3 linked regions of the Nothobranchius furzeri genome follow. The main gene of each other region encodes a partner of the protein of the gene in region 2 in a complex. Links are inferred from orthologs where the notes say so. Each region holds a gene or a part of one and is shown on either strand. Other genes may lie near its edges. The genes, in order: cnot6l, cnot11 and cnot6a.

What was found.
Region 1: cnot11 (region 2) and cnot6l share a complex: the UniProt entries of both Homo sapiens proteins name them as parts of the CCR4-NOT complex. The link is inferred for Nothobranchius furzeri from reciprocal best matches to the Homo sapiens genes CNOT11 and CNOT6L.
Region 3: cnot11 (region 2) and cnot6a share a complex: the UniProt entries of both Homo sapiens proteins name them as parts of the CCR4-NOT complex. The link is inferred for Nothobranchius furzeri from reciprocal best matches to the Homo sapiens genes CNOT11 and CNOT6.

What each region holds. Positions count from the first base shown.
Region 1 is NC_091750.1:40,065,660-40,069,879, reverse strand, and holds the start of cnot6l (CCR4-NOT transcription complex subunit 6-like), read right to left. Parts: upstream 2,915-4,220; 5' UTR 2,785-2,914; intron 1,791-2,784; 5' UTR 1,781-1,790; coding exon 1,669-1,780; intron 1,528-1,668; coding exon 1,341-1,527; intron 27-1,340; coding exon 1-26. Other genes in the region: mrpl1 (large ribosomal subunit protein uL1m), read left to right, coding at 3,420-3,450. UniProt on the Homo sapiens protein: Has 3'-5' poly(A) exoribonuclease activity for synthetic poly(A) RNA substrate.
Region 2 is NC_091754.1:35,255,153-35,259,284, reverse strand, and holds the start of cnot11 (CCR4-NOT transcription complex subunit 11), read right to left. Parts: upstream 2,865-4,132; 5' UTR 2,674-2,864; coding exon 2,355-2,673; intron 2,131-2,354; coding exon 1,966-2,130; intron 118-1,965; coding exon 1-117. UniProt on the Homo sapiens protein: Component of the CCR4-NOT complex which is one of the major cellular mRNA deadenylases and is linked to various cellular processes including bulk mRNA degradation, miRNA-mediated repression, translational repression during translational initiation and general transcription regulation.
Region 3 is NC_091741.1:95,565,185-95,568,837, forward strand, and holds part of cnot6a (CCR4-NOT transcription complex subunit 6a), read right to left. Parts: intron 1,879-3,653; coding exon 1,721-1,878; intron 1-1,720. UniProt on the Homo sapiens protein: Poly(A) nuclease with 3'-5' RNase activity.

The sequences.
Region 1 (4,220 bases), on a different chromosome or scaffold from region 2:
GAAGATTGTTGTTCAAAAGCAATTCCCTGCAAGGAGAAGAAGCTTCAACAACCTCTCATGGTGGCATCCTTCACGTCTAACGCTCGTGTTCAGGGTCACGCAGGACATGAATTATAATGTCGTTTTGCTGATTTAGAAGTTCTTGCAGAACTTGAGTCCAGACTTCAAACATCTGTTTATGACGTGTTATTCATCATTTTTAACTTGTTCATTTAAAACCATTTTCATCCGCTCATACGGAGTCGGGTCGCGGGGCAGCAGCCCGAGTCGGGAGGCCCACACTGCCCTCTCCCGAGCCACTTGCCCACCTACTGAACTTCTCTGGAATTGATAAGGAACTGGATCGATGGACAGAATCGACAAGGTTGTTGTTATTGATAAAAACTGATCAAATCCCACCGCTAGATACACATGCCCGAAAAACCTCACCAGGAGGCGTCCTGACCAGGCGCCCGAGCCACCTCAGCTGGCTGGGGAGGGTGTGTGCGTGCATGTGTGTGTGCACGCGCGTGCATGTGTGTGTGTATGTGTGTGTTTGCGTGCGTGTGTGTGTGTGTATGTGTGTCTGTGCATGTGTGTGTGAGTGCGTGCGTGCGTATGTGTGTCTATGTGTGTGTATGTGTGTCTGTGCATGTGTGTGTGTGTATGTGCATGTGTGCGTATGTGTGTGTATGTATGTCTGTGCATGTGTGTGTGTGTGCATGTGTGTGTGTCTATGTGTATGTATGCAGAGACACACAGACACACACACAGACACACACTGCAGCACTCCCCACGTCCGTCCTTACAGACAGGTGTGTGTGTGTGTGTGTGTCTGTGCATGTGTGCATGTGCATGTGTGCGTATGTGTGTGTATGTATGTCTGTGCATGTGTGTGTGAGTGCGTGCGTATGTGTGTGTATGTGTGTCTGTGCATGTGTGTGTGTGCATGTGCATGTGTGCGTATGTGTGTGTATGTATGTCTGTGCATGTGTGTGTGTGTGTGCATGTGTGTGTGTGTGTGTGCATGTGTGTGTGTCTATGTGTATGTATGCACAGACACACACACACACACACACACTGCAGCACCCCCCACGTCCGTCCTTACAGACAGGTGTGTGTGTGCGTATGTGTGTGTGCGTGCGTGTGTGTGTGTGTGTGTGTGTGTGTGTGTACGCACACGTGGGAGGGTCTCACCTTTCTCACCCTTGACCTGTGTTCATGTCTGACTGGTTTAATCACCTGATTCAGGGTTTTAAATGACCGCTTTAGCATCAGTTCGGTTGAAACTGTCGGACACGACGGACGACCCCACCCACACTGCAGCTGAGTTAAAGGTCAGGGGTCAGAACTCCACCCACCTGAGAGTAACCATGTTGCCCAGTTCGGCGGGCAGACTTCGGAGCTTATTGGATGACAGGTTCAGGTAGACCAGGTTGGGCAGCTTGGCGATGTCCGGTGGGATACGAGTCAGGTTGTTGTCGTTGATGTGGAGCGCCGTCAGGTGGGTGAGGGTCCATAACGAGCTGCTCAGGCTCCGCACCCTTCCTGTGTAGGTGGCGGAGCTTCATTTTACTAACATTTCTGAACACAGTGGGCCAAACTGACCCCGACACTGAAAACATGGACAAGACTTTCTCTGGATATAACGTCCAGAGTGTGTTTTACTGGAAGTAAATGCAGACTGACCAGAGATCTCCAGCTCAGCCCAGTGAGACTTCTTCCCACCAGCCGCCTCCTCAGCTGACATGATGGTGTAACATCTGCGGGGATCTAGGGGGTCATATTTCTCCTTTGGCATTCCTGTTAATCTGCAGGACAAACCAGGAGCACGAGTTATCGTGGCAATCGTAAAAGAAAACACCAACTTTTATTTCAAGCACTAAAAAAATGTGGAAAACAAGAGAAGAACAATTTATAAGAAACTCAAAGGTTTAAAAAAAAGCTCGAGGCGTTTTTTAGTTAATGATGACGGAAGCAAACTGCTCATTTTTCTCAGGAGGTTTCACCTGCTGAGGAGCAACAAAACCACTGAAACCAGAACAAACCAGCAGAACATTTGATCAGTGATTACAGTTTTAATCAGAAGTTATCCACATAAAGAAAAGTCATCCAGAGGACTTCCTGCACTTGTAGGATGATCGTCGTAGAACCTCATCTTTAAACGTTCCTGTGGATCTACAGCCTGATTACTTCAGAATGGTGAGTTACAGCAAATACGTTCAGGGCCTTTGGGTGAGGTGGGTTCAGGCGCAGCAGGTCACAAGTGTCTGCAGACACCATCACAACTCCAACAGGTCATGTTGCCTCAGGAGCTGAAAGAGGGCCGTGTGTGTGTGTGTGTGTGTGTGTGTGTGTGTGTGTGTGTGTGTGTGTGTGTGTGTGTGTGTGTGTGTGTGTGTGTGTGTGTGTGTGTGTTGGAAAGTATGCAGCAGTGACAACTGCTCAGGCAGCTGAGGGACGAGTGTCCAAACATAGCTGTGGTGTCAAAAGTGACAAGAGGACAGGCCCGCTCACCAGCTGCTGGCACACCTGACACCAAGGTAAACACGCGCTCCGATTCGACACCTTCCACGGATGTCAGCGACACATTTACCTATGCAGCAAAGACCGGTCACGGTAACCGACCAGCGCTCCCGAAGCACGGGGCTGGAGTAAGTCAGCCAGCGGCGGCTGGGCGCATGCTCCCCGGGCTCCAGGGGCTTAGGGTGGGGGACACGACCGGACAAGGACCGAGTCGGGCTCTAAGCTGGTTTAGCGCCGAGCCGCCCGGGCGAACCGGCTCTAGATACAAAACGTGTTTACCTTCATCCGGGGGCTGTAGAAGGGAACTGGCAGCGACATGCAGGCGCGGGTTCAACCCTGAACGTCTCGGAAACAGAAGGAAGAACAACAAACGCGGCTTCCGCTCGTTACCGACAGTCCAGAGCGCGGTCGTGCACGCGCCTACTAGCTTCTTAGCATAAATCCCAAACGAAACTTTACAAATATGCTCATTTATTAATTGTTAATAAGTGACACATATTACGCTAAAGTTTGATACTAAACATGTGAAGGACACGTGCTAGCTGGTTAAACTCGTCATCTGTGACGTGTAGCTGACGTCACTTTATTTGACAAAAACCCGATGCAAAAACCAGAGATTCGGCATTATTTTTATTTGTTTATCTTATGCTTGCAATTCATTCATTTTGCCACTTTACACGATTTTAACATCAACATTTACTTCTAATCACACCTTAAAACAAATACTGAACTCGATCATTTAAATCAGTGAATCTTTAACATTAGATGAGATTTTAGAAACGTTTTTAAACGGTTTCCTGTAATGTAAACTGGTTAAGTTAGAGCCGACCTTTTAAAAATAAATATGTGTGTTTGTGCGGAACCATTGAGCGAACTGCTGTTTTTACACGGACAACGGACCACCAGAAGCAGACATGGCAACCTGCTCGCGGGCAGCTTGGAAAGGTCAGTGAAATTAGTTTCTCATCCAGGAAAAACGGTAAATTCATGAATGTTATTTTTTTGTTTCCGGTTGGGTTATTTTCTGTAGATTAGCGTTTTAGCTGCCCTGCTATCTGTTTCCGGTTAGTGTGTCCTGAGCCTAAACGCTCACAGAGGTTACGGAAACATGTTTTCCATCAACGTGTGGTTGCAAACTGGAGCCCCTCTGTTATGCTAATTAACTTTAGCTCACATCGTTTTCAGGAAGGTGAAAAAGTCTAACTTTTCTAGCGTCTTCTCCTGTGTTTACCCACCTGTCCGTCAGTCACATGTAACTACCATCATTTTGGCAAATATCCCACCTAGGCTCCCGTGTCTGTCTGAAACACAGGAGTCCTGATGGTTGAACCCCCCTCTGTCCGTGCGGCTCGCGCTGCTTTTTACACCTTTAGTGGTGTTGGACACGTGTTTACGGTGGGTTAACCGGGGTTAATGGTCAAACCAGTTGTTACCTGTAACCCTACTCCTCCGGTGTGGCCCTGGCCACCCTTTTGGGGAGCCACTGCTATTATTGTAACCTCCAACCACTAAAAACAACAAATAAAGGAAACATGTGTTTCCAGAACTATGCAGCGTACAGTAAGAGACACGAACGTACTGCGTACATCTGGTATTGAACACACACACTGAGTATTGCATTGGTGGTGTTGTGTACCAGGATAATGCCAGTACCAGTTAAACTGGGGAATCCTACACTTGCTGCTGAGGGGATGAATGACCTACGGTAGCGTTCA
Region 2 (4,132 bases):
CTATGATCTGATTGGCTACGGAGCTGTCGAACCCTGAGTTGGAGGAGTCTGGGTCTGGGTCATTCAGGATGCTGGGGAAGCTGGCTTTACTCTGAGTGGGAAGCTCCGACTGGCGCTCTGTTAGACCAAGGAGCAGACATGGAAACGGGTCAGGGGCTGAAGGTGAGAGCGACACGACCATCCTGGTACGAGCGTGTAATAACGTACGTAAACACGCTCACCATCAACCAATGTTCTCACCTGACTTACAAATGACGTGTTAAACATTAGCTCCTTGTTTGGAGCAGAACTATACACGACGTAATGGTGAGGTGCTTAAAGAGCGGACATGATGAACCAGGACAATGATGATAAATGACCCACACTTATTTAGTGCCATGAGTCAGAGGACTCCAAAGCGCTTTACACTACAGTGCGTCATTCACACACACGTTCACACACTGATGGTGATGAGCTACAGTGTAGCTACAGCTACCCGGGCGGTGAGCCGGGACAACCCTCTGATTACTGGACAACCCGCTCTACTTCCATGTAACATGTTTTATACGTGTTTTGTGCTCGATCAGCGCCTCAACTCGAAACGCATCCAGCTCCTGGTTTTATTTCAGCGGCTCTGGCCCACAGTTGCTTGTTTGCAATTCCTTTTCTGATGCTGGTGTAGGTATCAGATCCGCTCAGGGACCTGCGCCTGTTGATGACATCACACCACAGCAACACCACTGGAACAAACTACATTGCAACTCATTCTTTAACTACCTAAGTGCTAAAAACAACAACAGACTCTACCAACAAAACAGCTCATATATGTGATTGTTTTACACTGTATTATTAACACCTGCAGCTGTTGGTGTTGAATTCTTCTACTTCATTTGTTTGTATCCTGTTCATGTGCTGCAAACTGTCCAGGTGTCATCTATGTTTATGTCTATGGTGTGTGTGTGTGTGCTGCAGCACACGATCACTGTGAAAGCAGGGAGAGGGATGCCCAAAATGCCTGGGACAATTATTACATTAACTGATGGGACCTGTCACTGATTAGTTTAGAGATAAGTTTCTCAGGCTGATAAAAAATAAATCATCTCTGAGTGACGCGCCGCTGCCGTACACTCTCCCACAGCACCGCTGGAGGGGACTAAATAACCATTATGCAACATATGTGGGCGACGGTGGCACAGGAGTTAAGTGCTTGCCCCATAACTGGAAGGTTGCAGGTTCGAGCCCCGCTCAGTTTGTTGCTGTCGTTGTGTCCTTGGGCAAGACACTTAACCCCCCTTGCCTGCTGGTGGTGGTCGGAGGCACCGTGGCACCAGTGCTCGGCAGCCTCGCCTCTGTCAGTGCGCCCCAGGGCAGCTGTGGCTACGTCGTAGCTCATCCCCACCAGTGTGTGAATGGGTGAATGACTGATGGCGTTGTAAAGCGCCTTGGACTCCCAGGACTCTAGAAGGCACTATATCAAATACAGGCCATATTTTTACCATATGTTTCGATTTATTTTAGATTATAAGTGCACCGTATAACTCTTAGTCAGTATTTGCAAAATATTTATATCAAGTTGGTATTAAGTAGGCTTAAATAAGTTAAACCTCAGCCTGAACCGGGGGTAGGCAACCCGTTAGGTGGGTCTGGATGGAGCGAGTCTGGTCTCGAACGGGCGGTGTAGTGTTCACGTATAAATCCGAGCGACTTCTCAGGAACGCAGAAATCCCCGAGCCTGTGGGCGGTGATTAATACGCGCGGGAAAGTCCGCGGTGTCCTCCATAATAAGGTAAACAAAGGCGGGCACGAGCTGTGTTGCTTTTGGAGACTCTGAACCACATTAGTTTATTAATTTTCTGTGTGTGTCCTCATAATCTTATGCCACACACACACATATGCACACACTGCTTTCTCCCCTGAGCAGCTGTCTACTCACTGGGGCAAGAGCTCTGATGCAGAGGACAGGCACACACACACACACACCCCGACCTGCTAATGCGAGCTGCAGCCCACTGATGTCGATGGGCTGGGGCATGTTGGTGATGTCCATGCAGGACACCTGTCTGGGTGTTTTCTTGAAGAGGTCTCTGGGTGGTGCCAACATCAGCTGGGACAGGAAGAACTTCTCTGGCTGGGTGATAGGCGGCAGGAAGCCTGAACACAAAATCACCACAGGTAACAGGTGGGGCTGAATTCATCTCCTTAGATACGTAGATTTTCAGTAAATGTGCAGGAGCAGTATTAGCAACTTGTATTTCCTGCCATTCCTCTCATAGACGTATGGGACTCCATCATGGACTTTGATGTGTTTATATTTGTGTTACCAGTATACAATGGCAATGAATGGATTTCATTAATGCCGGATTATTTAGTCCTACCGGACAGCGCCTTCTCCTGCTCCTCTCCTGCCGGAGCCGGGTTCAGGACGTGGGCAAAGACAGCAGCGAACGGGTTGGCGGCCAGGGGCTCCGTCCGGTACATCTCCCACAGCAGGTAGAGGGCGGTGAGCCGCTGCGGGGAGCTGGGCAGCAGGTCCGGCTGCTGGAGAAGCATGACTAGCACCGAGCCCACCCGGAAGTGCTCTGCTTTGCCAAAGTAATGATGGAAGTGAGTGGAAAGAGTCTCGAAGGAGTTGGAGCAGGCCTCCTCCGAGATGATGCTCAGCAGGTTGGACAGTTCCTTCGGAGCTAGGCTCATCGTCTCCTCCGGTTCTGTTCAGCTGCGGGGAAGTTCTGCTCCGTTTTTAAAACTAGTTATTGTTGGAAAAATACCGGGACAAGACGTGCTAATCCATGGTTGTGAAGTGAATCAGAAAGTCAACGATATTAGCATCCTGGAGTTGTGTTAGCCTCCACTTAGCTTAGCTTAGCGTTTTCCAGGACTCAGCTTTTGGTCTGACTTATTTTCAACAATAATTGACTATTTAACAACAAAACAATCTTAACGAACAAGCAATTAGCGACAAAATAAACTCCAAAAGCAATATAAGTGCCTGTTATGGCTGTAAAAGTAGGTTCTTAATGTGCCGCACTACCCGTTTAAATTTCTTGTGACCTTTACCTCGAGGTGCACTGTGGGTAATGGAGTTTCCACGTGTTCCTTCGTCTGACCGAGCAGACTCTTCTCCGGCTGTTAAACATTATAGAGCTCTCCCTGCTGGAAGGAGTGCTCCAGTGCAGCCAGACCTCCTCCTCCTCCTCCTTCTACAGCCAGCCTGGTGGCTCATGGAAACCCAGACCTGATCTACAGCAGCAACCACCTGGACAGACAGATCCTCCAGGCCTTCAGGAGCTCCCAGTGGGTTTGAGAACTGGAACCTGTGGCGGCGGCATGGATCCCAGCTGCTTTACTTTACAGATTAATGAGATTTTCTTGTAAATGTTTGTGTTTATTTGTCGTTCTTTGGGATGACAAGTGGCTCTGTGCAGCTCTGGACTGTTTGGACTTCCTTCCTGACCAGCCGGTGGTGGAACTGAGCAGGGAGCTTCATTTCTGCTTCCTTCAAGAAAAGGAGAGCTGCGACCCAGAACCAGCAGGAGGAGGCAAGTCCTTCAGTCAAAAGAGTTGTGGCTTTGTTTTAAAAGCACAGCTATGATGCTTTTTACATTATAGTTATTAAAATCGATGCATTTGAGGAAATGAGTAAAACAAACGTAGGAAGTTAAATCCAAAGAAAATATGAAGCTCCAAGCTGTTGGCTAAAATAATAATTTTTATTAATGTTGCAGGTGATTTTTATATCATTCTGGTAGTGAAATGAAGGGAGGCTGTGATTATTTCCTATAAACCACACTCAGATGGGTAGCTATGTTCTTGTAACTAGGGATGTCCCCTTCCGATATTGGTATCGGATATCGGCCCAAAAAAACCGTATCAGATTATATCGGACTGCATCAAAAATCTCCAATATAAGCAGTCTGTTCTGCTTTAAATTCCATTACAGCAATTCTATCCAGCAGCGTCCAGATCCAGCGTGCAAAGTCCACGTGATCAGAAAAGTGTTTGCTAGCAAGGAGCAATGTCGGCCATCTGGCAGTAGTTTTTGTTAAAGTCCAAAAAAGACAGTTTGGCTCAGTGCAACACTTGTCATGCACAAGCTTCCAAAGATTGAACAGAACCGGGGAAGTTTTATACGTCGTCCCCCCTCGATGTGCAT
Region 3 (3,653 bases), on a different chromosome or scaffold from region 2:
ACACCGTCACTACTCTGCGCTGGACCAATCAAGTGGCTGAAACAGAGCGAAACACAGAAAGCAGCAATTAGTAGCCGTTATAGTGGATGGTATGTTTCCACCAGCCGTGAAGAATCGCGTTTTGTAAGCATCACAGAAACATAGGGACACGCTGTTTGTGCATCGACTCTATTTTTTACACACTATTCTTTGAGAAGGCTTCAAACTCAGCAGTTCATACCAGGCCAGACTAGGGTTGTCACGGTGTGAAAATTTAACCTCACGGTTATTGTGACCAAAATTACCACGGTTTTCGGTATTATTGCGGTATTTTTTTTTAAACGTGCTACATTTTCACACAATTAAATAAAACCCTGTATGTCAGGAAATATTGTCCTCAGTTTGTGTCTAAATTTAGCCTAAAATGTGTTATTTTGTAATTATGTTGTTTATTTGTTTACATTTTTCCCCTTTAGTCTTGAAAATACCAATATTTGCCCATAACTTCTTATTTTATGTCTTTTTGATGTCATCATTTTAAAAATATTAGATCAGATGATACTCAGTACTCAAGTAGCCTTCTAATCAGATACTTTTTACCCTTACTTGAGTAATAAACCCTAGATCAGGAAAATATTGTCCTCGGTTTGTGTCCTTCCAGTGAGCTTTGCAGATTTGGGAAAATGTCATCAGGCAGTAATCGTTGTTAAATTCATAATTATTCTCGGAGAGAGACCAACTCTTATCTGCCCCTGGGAGCCCCGTAATGCATAGCATCATTTCAATATGGCGGTGTCCGCGACACGGTTTATATGCAGGTAGCGGCGGTGCGGCTGCTTTATATAGCGACTCGTTTCATTCTCCCTCAACCCAAATCCTCGGATCACACATTTTAGCTAAAACGCTAACGTTAGCTTGCCTTTCGTTGACTGTAGCGTTGTGGGTGATGGTCACGCAGATGTGTCATGAGATTTGAAGTGTTGCTGCCGGATAGCCGTCTTCTATCAACTGTCTCTCAGCATTCTTCAAATATCCAAAAGATGCCCATACTTCCGACTTTGTCTTCTTTGAGGGATAATAAATGTCCTGAGTGCTGCCGTCTCCTCCTTTGGCCATTATTTCAGCTTTAGCTTCAAGAAAGTTTTGGTTGTAAACAACAAAGTGCGCATGTCCCACGGGCAACTTCAGCAGATGATACGGTGGCTGGTAAGGGTCACCGCGCCTACACCGCAGCCACGGTAATCCACCGAGATAATATAGTTTTTTTTAAAACAAGACGGTTATCATTATTGTCAACTTTTTTTACAGGGGTTTACCGCTACACCGGTTACCGTGACAACCCTAGGCCAGACAGGAACTGAAACACAAAAATGGTGTAAAACATCTAATCCCCCCAGGAAACCCCCTCCTCACCAGTCAAAAATCCGAAACCCAAAGTGCTTTTACCAAAACAAAAGAACCAATCCTGATTCTTGGCAACGTAATGAAACTGATGGACCCCCCCCCCCCCCCCCCAAAAAAAAAGAAAAAGCACAAATAAAACAATATTGACCTTTGATCCCTGATCAAACTGAACATGATTACACTTTGATCAATCGTTCTACAATACAAGCAGCTGCAAAACAAGCCACAGTTTTGCCAACACACTGTCCATAAAACATTTATTTGACTAAAAATCACATTATGAACATCTTGTAATCCTAGTTACAAAGTCTTAATGAATTCTTGGATATTATCTTACCTGCAAACTGATGATGTCTGCGTTGCAGCCGAGGATTTCCTGCATGATGGACTTCTTCCTGTACTCCCAGTTTAGAGCCCAGGTCGGGCAGTAGCCATAGAGCTGCCTCGTGGCGTATTTATCACACAGCACGTTATAGCACATGACCGAGAAGAGAGCTAAGGAACACAGACAGGAAAAATTTCACTCGTTCACGTGTTTCTGAAGCTGACAGCAACCTTAAACACTCCCTTCTAAGGCGTTGTCTTGCTTTAGTTATTAAATCATAATCAGATGGGTTTTATTTGGTGAAATTACTAGTTCCACCCATCAGTAGCAGTGAGTTAACCAAAACACAGGAAAAAGACTTCGACTCATCATGAAACCCCATCGGTGCAGCGTCCTCATTTACCACGAGAGTTACAGAGATCACACTACGTCGCTGGTTTTAGAATGAAAACGGTTAAAACTACAAACAGTACAATATATATTTAAACCAAAATACTATATATTATCAAAAAATATTTGTAGTTTCAAAATATTTGTAGTAGGAGAAGGAGGTTATCATTTTTGGGGGAAATATTTCAAATTTAAGGAGTTACACACCGACATCTTTTCTATCTGCGTCTGGAAGAATCATTTAAGAGGGGCTGAAGGAATGTTTAAAGGTGCAATCTGTAAGAATGACATCTAGCGGACAAATGTGGGTACTGGGGTTCATTTTTTTGGCAAAAACATCACGTTCTCACTGCCGTTCTGTGAGTTTCATGGCTGTTGCCGTTTAATGACGAGCACCAGAAGATTCTAGATGACGAGCGAAGACGAGTCATACACAGAAAGTGGATAAGTTGATGAATACATTGTCATATCTGGTGTTAGCATTCCTGGGTGTTTTATGGCAGGGAGCACTTACTACACTTATTATGGTAGTTTGTTTCAGTTATTACAGGAAGTGTGGTTGTGTGCATTCTTGCTGTTAGCCTGCCGTTAAAAGTTCTGAGCAACTCATTAAAGGAAGAAAAACTCAATTACTCACTTCACACATACATTTCACTGTAACATCAAGTTATTGGTAATTGAAAAAGTAGCTTGAGATATTTTTGAGCTGACTATTTGCTCCTTATTCATCGTTAGCATTGTTAGCTCAATAATAAACTCTAGCCTGCTTTACTCAACATTAAGCCCCCTTCAGACAGGCCATGAAAAACGGAAATGTTCCGGAATCTGTCCGTAAGACCTTTCTGTCTGAATACAAACATCCGGATAATGTGTTCCGGAATTTATCCGGACGAAGCCCCTAGTAACAGGTCCGGACTTGTTACGGACAGGGTGGCTGATTCAGACTGGTGAGGTAAAGTTCCGGACAAGAGGGAGGGGGAGGAGGAGGGGACCGGGGGACGCTGTGCGCACCTAGATAGCCCGCTGCTGTAGCATGCGGCGATCAACGGCAGCTCGCCTCCTACGGTACCGTCTAGACGCGCGAGGGAGCGCTTCACACCGCTTCAGTGATTCCTTTAACCATTGAGCTTCATCATCCAGGTCTCTTATGCGTCTTCGTGTGCGCAGAATTATGCTTAAGCGCCTCGTGATTTTTATCTTGAGAGGCGCTGTAGAAATGATATTTTCTTCTTCTTCTTCTTCTTCTTCTTAACATGAGTCCGATCACCCCCCCACCACCACCACCCCCCGCCGCCGTCAGACATCTGGAACTTTTCCCTGCTGTGTGAACGCAGCCGAAAGGACAAGTTCCGGTACAAAAGTGGTGTGTCTGAAAACACAGTTCCGGTTAAAAACCGGATTGAATTGTCCGCAAATGTTCCAGAATGTCTGTCTGAAAAGGGCTTTAGAGTACAACTAAAGGATGCAGTAGCTTCTTAGGGGTCGCACTTGTTTACTGGCTTTATTCAGTTCTTTTAACAACTCTGGAGCACTGTGTTGAATTACAAATGCCTGG